Linked DNA regions of Canis lupus familiaris. The protein of the gene in region 1 interacts with the protein of each later gene in a pairwise test. Links are inferred from orthologs where the notes say so. Each region holds a gene or a part of one and is shown in the gene's direction. Other genes may lie near its edges.

Region 1 (3,654 bases):
TCTTCAGAAAGGCAATTTAATGATACAGAATTCACCTTTGAAACATTGTGGTCATTGTCTCTCTGTGTCAAATAAATAAAGTCTTTAAAAAAAAAATAAAAAACATTGTAGCCCTTGATGGCACCATGGTTTGTAATAGCTCTAAAATGAAAACAACTCAACTCTCCATAGTAGAATGAATTATTAATTTGAAGTGTATTGACAAAATGGAATACGACACAGTGACAATGAACAGAATAAAACCACATGCAAGCCTCATGGATGAACTTCATAAGCACAGTGTTGAGCCAAAAAAGATAAACGAGGGCATATCGTATGCTTGCATTTAAATAAGCACAAGAGCAGGGTGTTAGAAGTTAGCATCTGGTTGCCCTTGGAGGCAGGTAGGAACTGCAAGGGAACCAAAGGAGGCTTCTGGGGTGTTGGTCATGTTCTGTTTATTGATCAGGGCTCTGGTCACATGCGTGTGATCACTTTGTAAAATTTCATCTGGCTGTATATTTCTGATAATGCACATTTAAAATTTTTGTATATGCTTTTATTTTTTAATGTATGTGTACGTTAATGCAAAAACAAAAAAAAATATTGGTCGTTATCAGTCACTTTTGGATCAAATTATTGGTCTTCTCACTAAATTCCTTTATTGCTCTTCTAATCCAAGTAATTTAAATGAATTTCACAGTTTTTTAAAAAATCGGACATATGTCTTCAACCATTTAAATTCTCTCCGAAATTTTCCTGTATTTGAATTAGACATAACTTTTCACCCCTTTTTGCTTTTCTTTTCTTTTTTTTTTAAGATTTTATTTATTTATTTGAAAAAGAGCAAGAGAATGAGAAACAGAAAGAGAGAGAGAGCATGAGCAGAGGGTAGGGGCACAGGGAAGGGGGAGGAGCAGACTCCCTGCTGAGCAGGAGCCGATGCTGGACTCGACCTCAGGACCTGAGTCAAAGGCAGACACTTAGCCGACTGAGCCACCCAGGTGCCCCTCTCCCCATTTTTGTCCATAACAACTCATTGTTCAGACAAACAAACAAACACCTGTATTTAAACAACTTAAATGTTTAAAACGTTGTCACTTTTTGTTTCTGAAATGCGGGGTAGGATATTGAATATCTGGAAGTGGGGTTCCCGTGTTTATGGGACGTAGGGAACACTCCGTTACCGTCCTGGCTGGAGAGGAGTCACTTCACCCTCTAACTCACGGGGCCTTGGGAACCCAGCCAGCTCAGCCAGTCCAATTTCCAGAGGACTGAAATTGAGGTCTAGAGAGCATAGGTGAGTTGCTCCTGGCCAAGTGTGCCCAAGACCAAAATCAGGCACTGATTTTTTTCCAGAAAGCTCTCGACTTTTCAGAGTATATTGGGTATTTCCACATTATTGGGAAACACTGCCTTTTCTCAGACACTGCCAGTTGTTTTGAAATTGGACTTACAGTAATCAAATTCTACAGAGGTTATGTGTGAAGATACAGGGCAAATGTGAGAAATGTGAAATTAGGTCAAATAACTTATTGACTCTTTCTAACCCCTTTGTGAGAACACAAACATTTTCTTGCAGCGTGTAAAATGATTATGGGAAATAGAAATGCAAACAACATGGGGCGTCTGGGGGGCTCAGCGGTTGAGCGTCTGCCTTCAGCCCAGGCCGGGATCCCAGATTCCCAGGATCCAGTCCCACGTCGGGCTCCCCGCAGGGACCTGCTTCTCCCTCTGCCCCTGTCTCTGCCTCTCTCTCTGTGTCTCTCAGGAATAAAAAAAGAAAGAGGAAGAAAGAAATGCAAACAACAGATTCATTTGTGCATTTATATATAGTTGCGTATGTCTTACGAATTTTGTTGGTGGTGTCCCTTTGCATTTTTACAGACCTAAGTTTGATAATGGTTAAAAAATTGATGGGCAGGTGTTGGAGAAAGGGGAATTTAAATTTGATAATTAAAACATAATTCAGGAGACTTTCTTTTGGGATGAAATTATCTGGGTTAGCTATCAAAATACACATGGCATATACTCAACTATTTTATACTGCTTTGTCGTGAACGTATGTCTAATGATTCCCTTGTAACAGAGCCTATTATTAGTACGGTTGTTTAGGAGGTGCTCCTCTACAGGAGTGATGTAGGCTTTAGAATCTAACACCATACAATATTGGCTAGTTTAAATATTGATTAGAAAAAGTGAGAGATTATATATTTATAATTTCATCTGGGAAATAATATTAAAGGATCAGCATCTGATTACATTCCTGAGTACTTACCTAGGAAGAAGTAATTAGTAATTACTAAAGATATTAAATAAGACTGCACTTGGTATTCTGTGGGATTCTGAAATCAGTGGAGGATGAATTATTGGACGATCAAATCACATTATCACAAGAAGGGCTTAAGTTATTTCTTGTCTTGATTTTAATCAAACATTTCTGTTTAAATTAGATTAAAGAGGATATTCCTGAAACAAAGGTGAAGTTCACATCTTTAGAGAACCCTGAGACTGACAGCCAGTTTTTAAACATCTCCTGTTCATTTCAAGTGAGCTCGCCAATTTTTTATGAGCTACAGAAAGGGCAAGCTCTTATCACCTTTGAAAGAGAAGAAGGTATGAGTAATGTTCAAAAATTTGACTATGTTGGGGATCCCTGGGTGGCTCAGTGGTTTGGCGCCTGCCTTTGTCCCAGGGTGCGATCCTGGGGTCCCGGGATCGAGTCCCATGTCGGGCTCCCGGCGTGGGACCTGCTTCTCCCTCCTCCTGTGTCTCTGTCTCTGTCTCTCTCTCTCTCTCTCTGTCTATCATAAATAAATAAATAAATCTTGAAAAAATTTTTTACTATGTTGCTTTTGGAAATCGCTGAGACTTCCAAAGAGCTTTCTTAGATATTTGGCTATTGCTTTAAAATTTTTACATCTATCATCTCATCTCATCTCATCTCATCTTATCTCATGGCGATACCTTGGGGCAGACAGGATTATCCTCATTTGATGATGAGAAAACTGGGACATTAACTGCCGTGAATGTGATCACCTGTTGAGAACATGACAACCCTGGGACTCAAGCCCAGGTGTTGTGACGTCCAATACCAGTGTCTCTCTGCTCCACCTGCTACCTCCAAATGGTGTTAGCAAGAATGTCTTAAGCTGATAGAGCTCCATAGATTTCCCCCAGAGTTCTCACAGATGGCTCCTCTTACGCTCACATGACCGAGAGGAGAGTTACTATTTATTTACTTATTTTTAAAGATTTTATTTATTTATTCATGAGAGATATATATAGAGAGAAGCAGAGATACAGGCAGAGGGAGAAGCAGGCTCCATGCAGGGAGCCCGACAGGGGACTCGATCCCGGGTCTCCAGGATCATGCCCTGGGCAGAAGGCAGGTGCTAAACCGCTGAGCCACCCAGGGATCCTGAGAGTTACTATTTACATATTATAGCTAAGGACACAGATTCTTGGGTGTGTAAGTGACTTGCCTAAGGGTACATGACCAGTGAATGGAAAGAGCCCAAGAGTCAGCGATTTGGAAACGGGCCCTGACGTTTGCTGAGTCTGCTGTAGGACCCTGTTCCGAGCCGGAGGCACGCTAGGGAGGACAATCTGGCCTTCAGTGCCAACGTTGCCCATTTCTAGATATGGGATTTGGGTTGGGTTCTTTCTGAATCT
Region 2 (2,667 bases), on another chromosome or scaffold:
AGACTGAATCGGAGGAAGAGAGCTCAGGTGAGCCCCCAACATGTGCACACAAGCGTCCGCCCGCTTTTCCTCAGCCAGAGCTGACTGGCCTCTTGTCCCAGAGATGGACGACGAGGACTATGAGCGGCGTCGCAGCGAGTGCGTCAATGAGATGCTGGACCTGGAGAAACAGTTCTCGGAGCTCAAGGAGAAGTGAGCGCGGGGCGTCTAGGGCTGGGTCTTTAGGCCCCCTGGGGTGAGGAGGCAGCGGGCCTGGTGCTGGGCAGGGGTAGCCAAGGGCCTGACACATGGGACCTGCCATGGAGCAGGCGCTTAGCCACGTGTCTGATGAACAAACATGTGCTGCCTTTTCCCTCCCAGGTTGTTCAGGGAACGGCTGAGTCAGCTGAGGGTGCGGCTGGAGGAAGTGGGGGCTGAGAGAGCACCTGAATACACAGAGCCTCTGGGGGGACTGCAGCGGAGCCTCAAGATCCGCATTCAGGTGGCAGGTCTGTGGGCTGTCCTGTGCTCTGGGGTGACCCCAGGCCTCCTCGCATCTTCCTCTGCCAGAGCCCATGGCTGTCTGTTCCCTTCTTTCCTCATTCCTGCCCAGCTCTGCTCCTGGCTCCCCCTTTTGGACACATGAGACCCTGGCCAAGCAGGGCTTCCCATCTCCCTCCCTCTACAGGGATCTACAAGGGCTTCTGTCTGGACGTGATCCGGAATAAGTACGAATGTGAGCTGCAGGGAGCCAAACAGCACCTGGAGGTGAATGTGACTGCGGGCTGGGCTGGGGGAGGTGAACGGAAGGTGGCTTGTCCCTGCCACCCTGCTGAGCACCTTCACCCTTTCCAGAGCGAGAAGCTGCTGCTCTATGACACGCTGCAGGGGGAGCTGCAAGAGCGGATCCAGAGGCTGGAAGAGGACCGCCAGAGTCTGGACATCAGCTCTGGTGAGGCTGCACTAGGCACTGTTCTAGCCATGCCCCCACCCCTCCCACCCACCCCCCATCCTGCCCTCCCACACCACCTGCTGCTCTGCCTACACAGGGAGCATGTAGGAGAGCCTGCTTCATGGTGTCACTCTGGGGCCTAAATGGAACCAGGCACAGAAAGGACACAGCCCAGTGCCTGGTGCACAGAGGAGGCTCAGAAAGAACGGTCCCCCTGCCCTCCTTGGCCCCTGCTCTCTTTCCAGAACAGGAGGTGTCATTCTGACACACCCACACATACAATAGCCACAGTTCCCTCCGTGTCCACAGCGCCTGTGTTCACATGGCATCCCAGGGAGGCCAGAATTGTCATTGTCACACTGCCCACTAAACAGATGAAGGAACCAGGCTCACAGAAGTACAGTGACCTCTTCCCCAGGGTTGCATGGCTCTGCCATCTAGCCTTGGCCTCAGCTTCCAAGCCCCTGGCCCAGGGTGCTCTCCACTGGCCTGGGAGGGAGAGGAGGGGTAGGGGCTGGTCTGGCTCACGTGATGGACACAGCTACAAGGGTGGGGTGTCCAGGGATGGCCAGCTCTTTGATCCTGACTCTGGGTCTGGGGGCACAGAGTGGTGGGATGACAAACTGCACGCCAGAAGCAGCGCAAAGACCTGGGACTCCCTGCCACCCAGCAAGAGGAAGAAGGCACCTCTCGTTTCTGGTATCCTTCCACCCACGGCGGCCTGACCTGGGCAGGACAGCAGGGTTAGCTCCAAACCAAGGGAGGGGGTGGGGGGACACGGAAGGCAGTCATTTATGGCAGTTTATGGTCATTTGGCATCATGTGGCCATGTCCAGGCAAATCCAACTGTCAGGAATTTCCTGTGAGGCCCTGGGTCTCTCCTGGGCTGGATAGAGAAACAGAAGTATCCATTTAGTGACTCCCCATAACTTCCTGAGGGAAGTCTCCTTTGAGGTTCTTTTGGCTTTCCCACAATATTCCCAACAGGTCCTAGATTTTCCTACCAACACCACGTCACCCCGCCTTCTCTCACTTCCCACCCTCTTCTTGGAATGCCTTGCTGCCTCTCTGTGCCTGTTATCTCCTCTGTGAAGCCTCTCCTGGTTTCCCCCCAATAGCTATGGCTTCTCTGTCCTCTGCAACCCTGTGGCCTAAGCTGGGGGTACCCACATCCCACACAGTAGTTGCCCAGCCTCACATTAGGCATGAGCCACTTTAGCCCAGGGCTTGCTGAGCCCTCATCCTCCCTGGCAGAGCCCACCACAGATGGGAGCAGGATCCACATGCCCTCCACCTGCACCCCCGGGTACTCCTGCAGCCTTCAGGCTCCCAGGACACTGGCCGCCCAGTGATGGCAGTCAGGGCAGGCAGGGAGGGAGGAGTCTGGGCCTTGAGGACTTGTGGGTTGAACAGGAGGTCAGGGTGTGGAGGCATCAGGTACAGAGCCCAAGAGGACAGAGCAGACCCTCCCACTCTGGAAGGGAGTGGGAGACCAAAGGAGGGTCGTCTCTAGAATGGAAGAGACTGTGAAGTCTGTGTAGAAGGGGCCAGATGAAGGGATACTAAAGGGACAGGGAATAGAGGGATCAAGGTCCCCTAGTGGGGGACCTGGGTTTTGACCTACTGACCTTTAAACTGGAGGGAGGAGTGAGGAGGAACTAAGGGGAGGTAGGGGGTGAGGCTCAGTACGCTTCACGGACTCATGAGGCCGTAGGCCCTGCCCCAAGAACCTGGGA
Region 3 (3,754 bases), on another chromosome or scaffold:
TAGAAGCTAGCCAGGATCTGGAGTTTGGAGAAGACCACTCTGAGCCAGTCGGCCTCCCAAAGGAGGCAAGTACAGCAGGGCTTAAGAGCAGTGCACCGTGAATCCAACTAGAGGTGAAGTCCTGCTACTTGCCACCTAGTAGCTGCTTAACTAAGCCATGAATGCTTTCCCCACTCCTTTCTGGGCAAGTCTTTTAACCTTTCTAAGCCTCCAGCTCTTCACCTATGAAATGAAAGTAATAGGTATCAGAACGGGGTTTGGAGAGGACTAAAAAGGTAATGTTTGCACTGACCTAGGCACATAGCAGGGGAACGGAAAATGCAGCACGACAGCCCTTGCAAGCCACTGCACAGACGTGCTGACGACAGTGCCCGTTTTGTGAGGGACGTGGAAGCTCGGTGCAACAACACGAGTCTCCCAAACAGCCCTGCGTACACACACACACAAACACACACACACACACACACACACACTTTTAGGTGGCCACCCCCGAATAATGAAGATCTGGAGCTTAAGATGTTTTTCACTCTGGGGTTTCTTTGCTGATTCCCGCCCACTCCAGTTAATTTGTGTTGAAGTTGAGGCCTTTCCCAGAACTTATTTTCTGTCTCCTTGGATGGGGACATGCCTTCGGCCTTTCTGGAGAGGCCCCGGTCACAGGGCTGGCTAGGTAAGCAAGGAACTGACCACGCTGGGTTTCAGCCTTGCCGTCTGATTGCTCCTGCATCGGCTGGCTCCCACCTCACCCCATCAGGCAAGTCCCTGCACCATTATGAGCTTCATGATTCGGTCTGTCCGTTTGGGGGACCCAGGCCTCTTGGCATCTGTAAAGTAATAACGTGGGTTCCCGGACTGTCTCCAGCATTTTGAAATGTCAAAGAGACACCCCGTGTCTGAACTCCTTTGGCCAATGCCCGACTGTCTTCTTTGGAATGACTCCGTTTAGACCTGGCTCTGAGCCGTGCTCTGGGTGACCTTGATCCTCTGACAGGCCTGGGGACACCCTATACCTTCCTTGAGGCCTCAGGGCCCCCCTGCTACAGGAATGCGCATCCCGCGAAGCCATCGCTGCCGGGAACCCCTCCCGCGCTGCCGGAGCGGGAGGCCGACCTCGCACGTTCACTCCCGGGCCCAGCGGCTCCCGGGTACGAGGCCCCGCCCCCGGCCCAGGCCCCGTCCCCCGCCCCCCGCCCCCAGCCCCTTCCGGCCGCGGCTCCTGCTCTTCTGCATGTCCCCGCCCCCCGCGCGCGCGCCGCCCTATCCGAGGCCGCGCCCGGCTCGGAGTTCCCGCCCCCCCGGCCGGGCCCCGCCCCCCGCCCCCCGCCCCCCGCCCCGGCCCAGCCGGCTGGCTCCGGCTTTCTCCGGTCCGCGGCCGCCGCGGCCCCGCCCCCGCCGGCCGGGGCGCCCGAGCCGCTCGCACAGCGCCCTCCGCACCTCTGCGAACATGGCGCTCCTGGCGGTGCGGGGCGTGCGGGCTGCGGCGTGCGGGCTGCGGGTCGCCTCGGTGTCCGCCGCGCCCGGCCTGCCGCGGCCCTGGGGGCCGAGGGCGGGCGCCGTCCGGACGCTGCGCACGGGCCCCGCTCTGCTCTCGGGTAAGCGCGGGCGGGCACGTGGGGGCGGGCGGGGCTGCGGGGGGCGACGGGCCGACCGGCCGGCTCACGCTGCGTCCTCCCGCCGGGGCGCGCCCTGCAGCCTCCGGGTGGCGTGGCCCACGCCGCAGCCCTGCCCCTGCGGGCCGGGGAGCCCGGGGCACACGCGCGGCCGCCCGGGGCGGGCCCCTTCGCTCGCCGTGGAGGACCGGGCCGCGTCGCTAAGCCGCCGCGACCTCAGGTGGTGAGCTCGCGGGTGTGCATCGTTAGGCCCTGAGAGTGGGGGCATGGTGGGCTTCGGTTCGCTACGTGGACGTCACTGAGAACTCCGAGGTAAAATCAAAGCAAGGGCACTTAATGAAATTAAAGCACTGGAGCTAGATTTTTACTAGCAAAAAAGTGAGCGTGACGTTGAGGGCTCAGCTATTTCCTAAAAACAGTGAGATGAAGTCTTTTGGACTCTCAGACATTCTGCGAAAGTCTGTATTGAGTCCTGGATGTGTTGGGACAGAAATGAGGGCTCACACGGACTTGGGGTTGGAATAACCGGGGCCCTGCCCACGCCCGCCCTGGCCATCTGTGCTACTTGACGCTTCAGAGCAATTGCTGCAGCAGAAAAAGTTTTCTTACTGCGTGCCCGAGGGCATGAGACGCCAACTGCGCCTCCAGGAATTGAGGCTTCTTAGGGATGCATATAGGTCTGTGATGGCTGTTGTCTCATTAATTTCACTGTTTTACAAACCTGTTTGGAAGTGGAAGGTTTGATAACATTTACTCCAGTCCGAAACATAAAGATGCTTCTCTGTCGTTGCTAACACATTCCTTTAGTTCTGTTGGTGACACATATCAATAATTACCAATTTGAATACAAAGGGAAAGCATATCGCAGAGAAGAAGTGAATTTCAAGGCATCTTTTTTTTTTTTGGTAAGTGTGACACTACTGCTGGGTTTTTGCACTTTCCAGTTACCTAGTTAAATATTGTCCAAAATATCAATACCCATGATCTGGTGTTCAACCAGGGTTTTTAAGAACAGAGGCCCAAGTTCCAATTTCAGCCCTACCTCTTACTAATTATGTGATCTTGGGCAGAGTCACTTAACTTCTTAGTCTGTTTTCCCTCATCAGAAAAATGGAAATGATAATACCTCTACCATACAGAGTTGTTGGGCGGATGAAATGAATTTGGTAAATGTTACTAAATATTATAGAATCAAGTAGGTAAAAATTGGCCAATATTTGTTATCCGACTAGTGACTTTATTTTCTTTTATTTTATTTTTTAAGATCTATTTATTGATGAGAGACAGAGGCAGAGATAAAGGCAGAGAGCAGGGATCACGCCCTGAGCCGGAGGCAGATGCTCAACCACTGAGCCACCCAGGCGCTGGTGACTAGTGATTTTAAAACACATACTTTTTAAAGTAGGCTCCACACTCAATACTGAGGCTGAACTACAACCCTGAGATCAAGAGTCATATGCTCCAACTACTGAGCCAGCCAGATGCCCCCTGATGACTCTGAAAGGAGGAAAATGCAGACTTCTCCTGAATTACTGAAAACACCTCATTATGAAGCCAAATATGATGTTTTTAAAGGCTCAGTAAGAAAGTAATTATTTACCTGACCTGTCCACTTTTATCCTCTTGGGCTGAGGAGGGTTAAAGGAGAATTAAACTAATCATTGTCTTTAGCCTAAATAGCTTGGCCTTGTAGAGTCTTGCAGACTTTTTAAATTAAGTGGACTTGCAGGCATTTACCTTACTAATCTTGCTGTCTTTCATTCTAAACTTGTGGTTGCTCAGTTGCTAAACTGAGTGTGAGCAACCTTATTCCTAAGATTATCTTTACAATTAGGCAAGATGGCAAGGCTCAAATTGATACAGCAGTCTCAGAGAAGTCATATTTATAGTTGTCCAGTTGTTACTTTATTTTTTTAATTTCTTTTCTTTTTTAAAGATTTTATTTATTTACTCATGAGAGACCACAGAGAGAGAGAGAGAGAGAGGCAGAGACACAGGCAGAGGGAGAAGCAGGCTCTATGCAGGGAGCCGGATGTGGGACTCAATCCCAGGTCTCCAGGATCACACCTGGGGCTGAAGGCGGCGCTAAACTGCTGAGCCACCCAGGCCGCTCTAGTTGTTACTTTTAAAAGGTATAGATTTAG

Evidence for each region.
Region 2: the proteins of NMI (region 1) and BRMS1 interact in binary tests that used the Homo sapiens proteins (3 or more experiments, as listed by UniProt). The link is inferred for Canis lupus familiaris from reciprocal best matches to the Homo sapiens genes NMI and BRMS1.
Region 3: the proteins of NMI (region 1) and GCSH interact in binary tests that used the Homo sapiens proteins (3 or more experiments, as listed by UniProt). The two-hybrid records come from large-scale screens. The link is inferred for Canis lupus familiaris from reciprocal best matches to the Homo sapiens genes NMI and GCSH.

What each region holds. Positions count from the first base shown.
Region 1 is NC_049240.1:54,258,442-54,262,095, reverse strand, and holds part of NMI (N-myc-interactor), read left to right. Parts: intron 1-2,432; coding exon 2,433-2,595; intron 2,596-3,654. UniProt on the Homo sapiens protein: Acts as a signaling pathway regulator involved in innate immune system response.
Region 2 is NC_049239.1:51,473,156-51,475,822, forward strand, and holds part of BRMS1 (breast cancer metastasis-suppressor 1), read left to right. Parts: coding exon 1-27; intron 28-101; coding exon 102-192; intron 193-360; coding exon 361-488; intron 489-667; coding exon 668-747; intron 748-834; coding exon 835-931; intron 932-1,537; coding exon 1,538-1,630; intron 1,631-2,667. UniProt on the Homo sapiens protein: Transcriptional repressor. Down-regulates transcription activation by NF-kappa-B by promoting the deacetylation of RELA at 'Lys-310'. Promotes HDAC1 binding to promoter regions.
Region 3 is NC_049226.1:71,304,286-71,308,039, forward strand, and holds the start of GCSH (glycine cleavage system H protein, mitochondrial), read left to right. Parts: upstream 1-1,412; 5' UTR 1,413-1,444; coding exon 1,445-1,592; intron 1,593-3,754. UniProt on the Homo sapiens protein: The glycine cleavage system catalyzes the degradation of glycine. The H protein (GCSH) shuttles the methylamine group of glycine from the P protein (GLDC) to the T protein (GCST).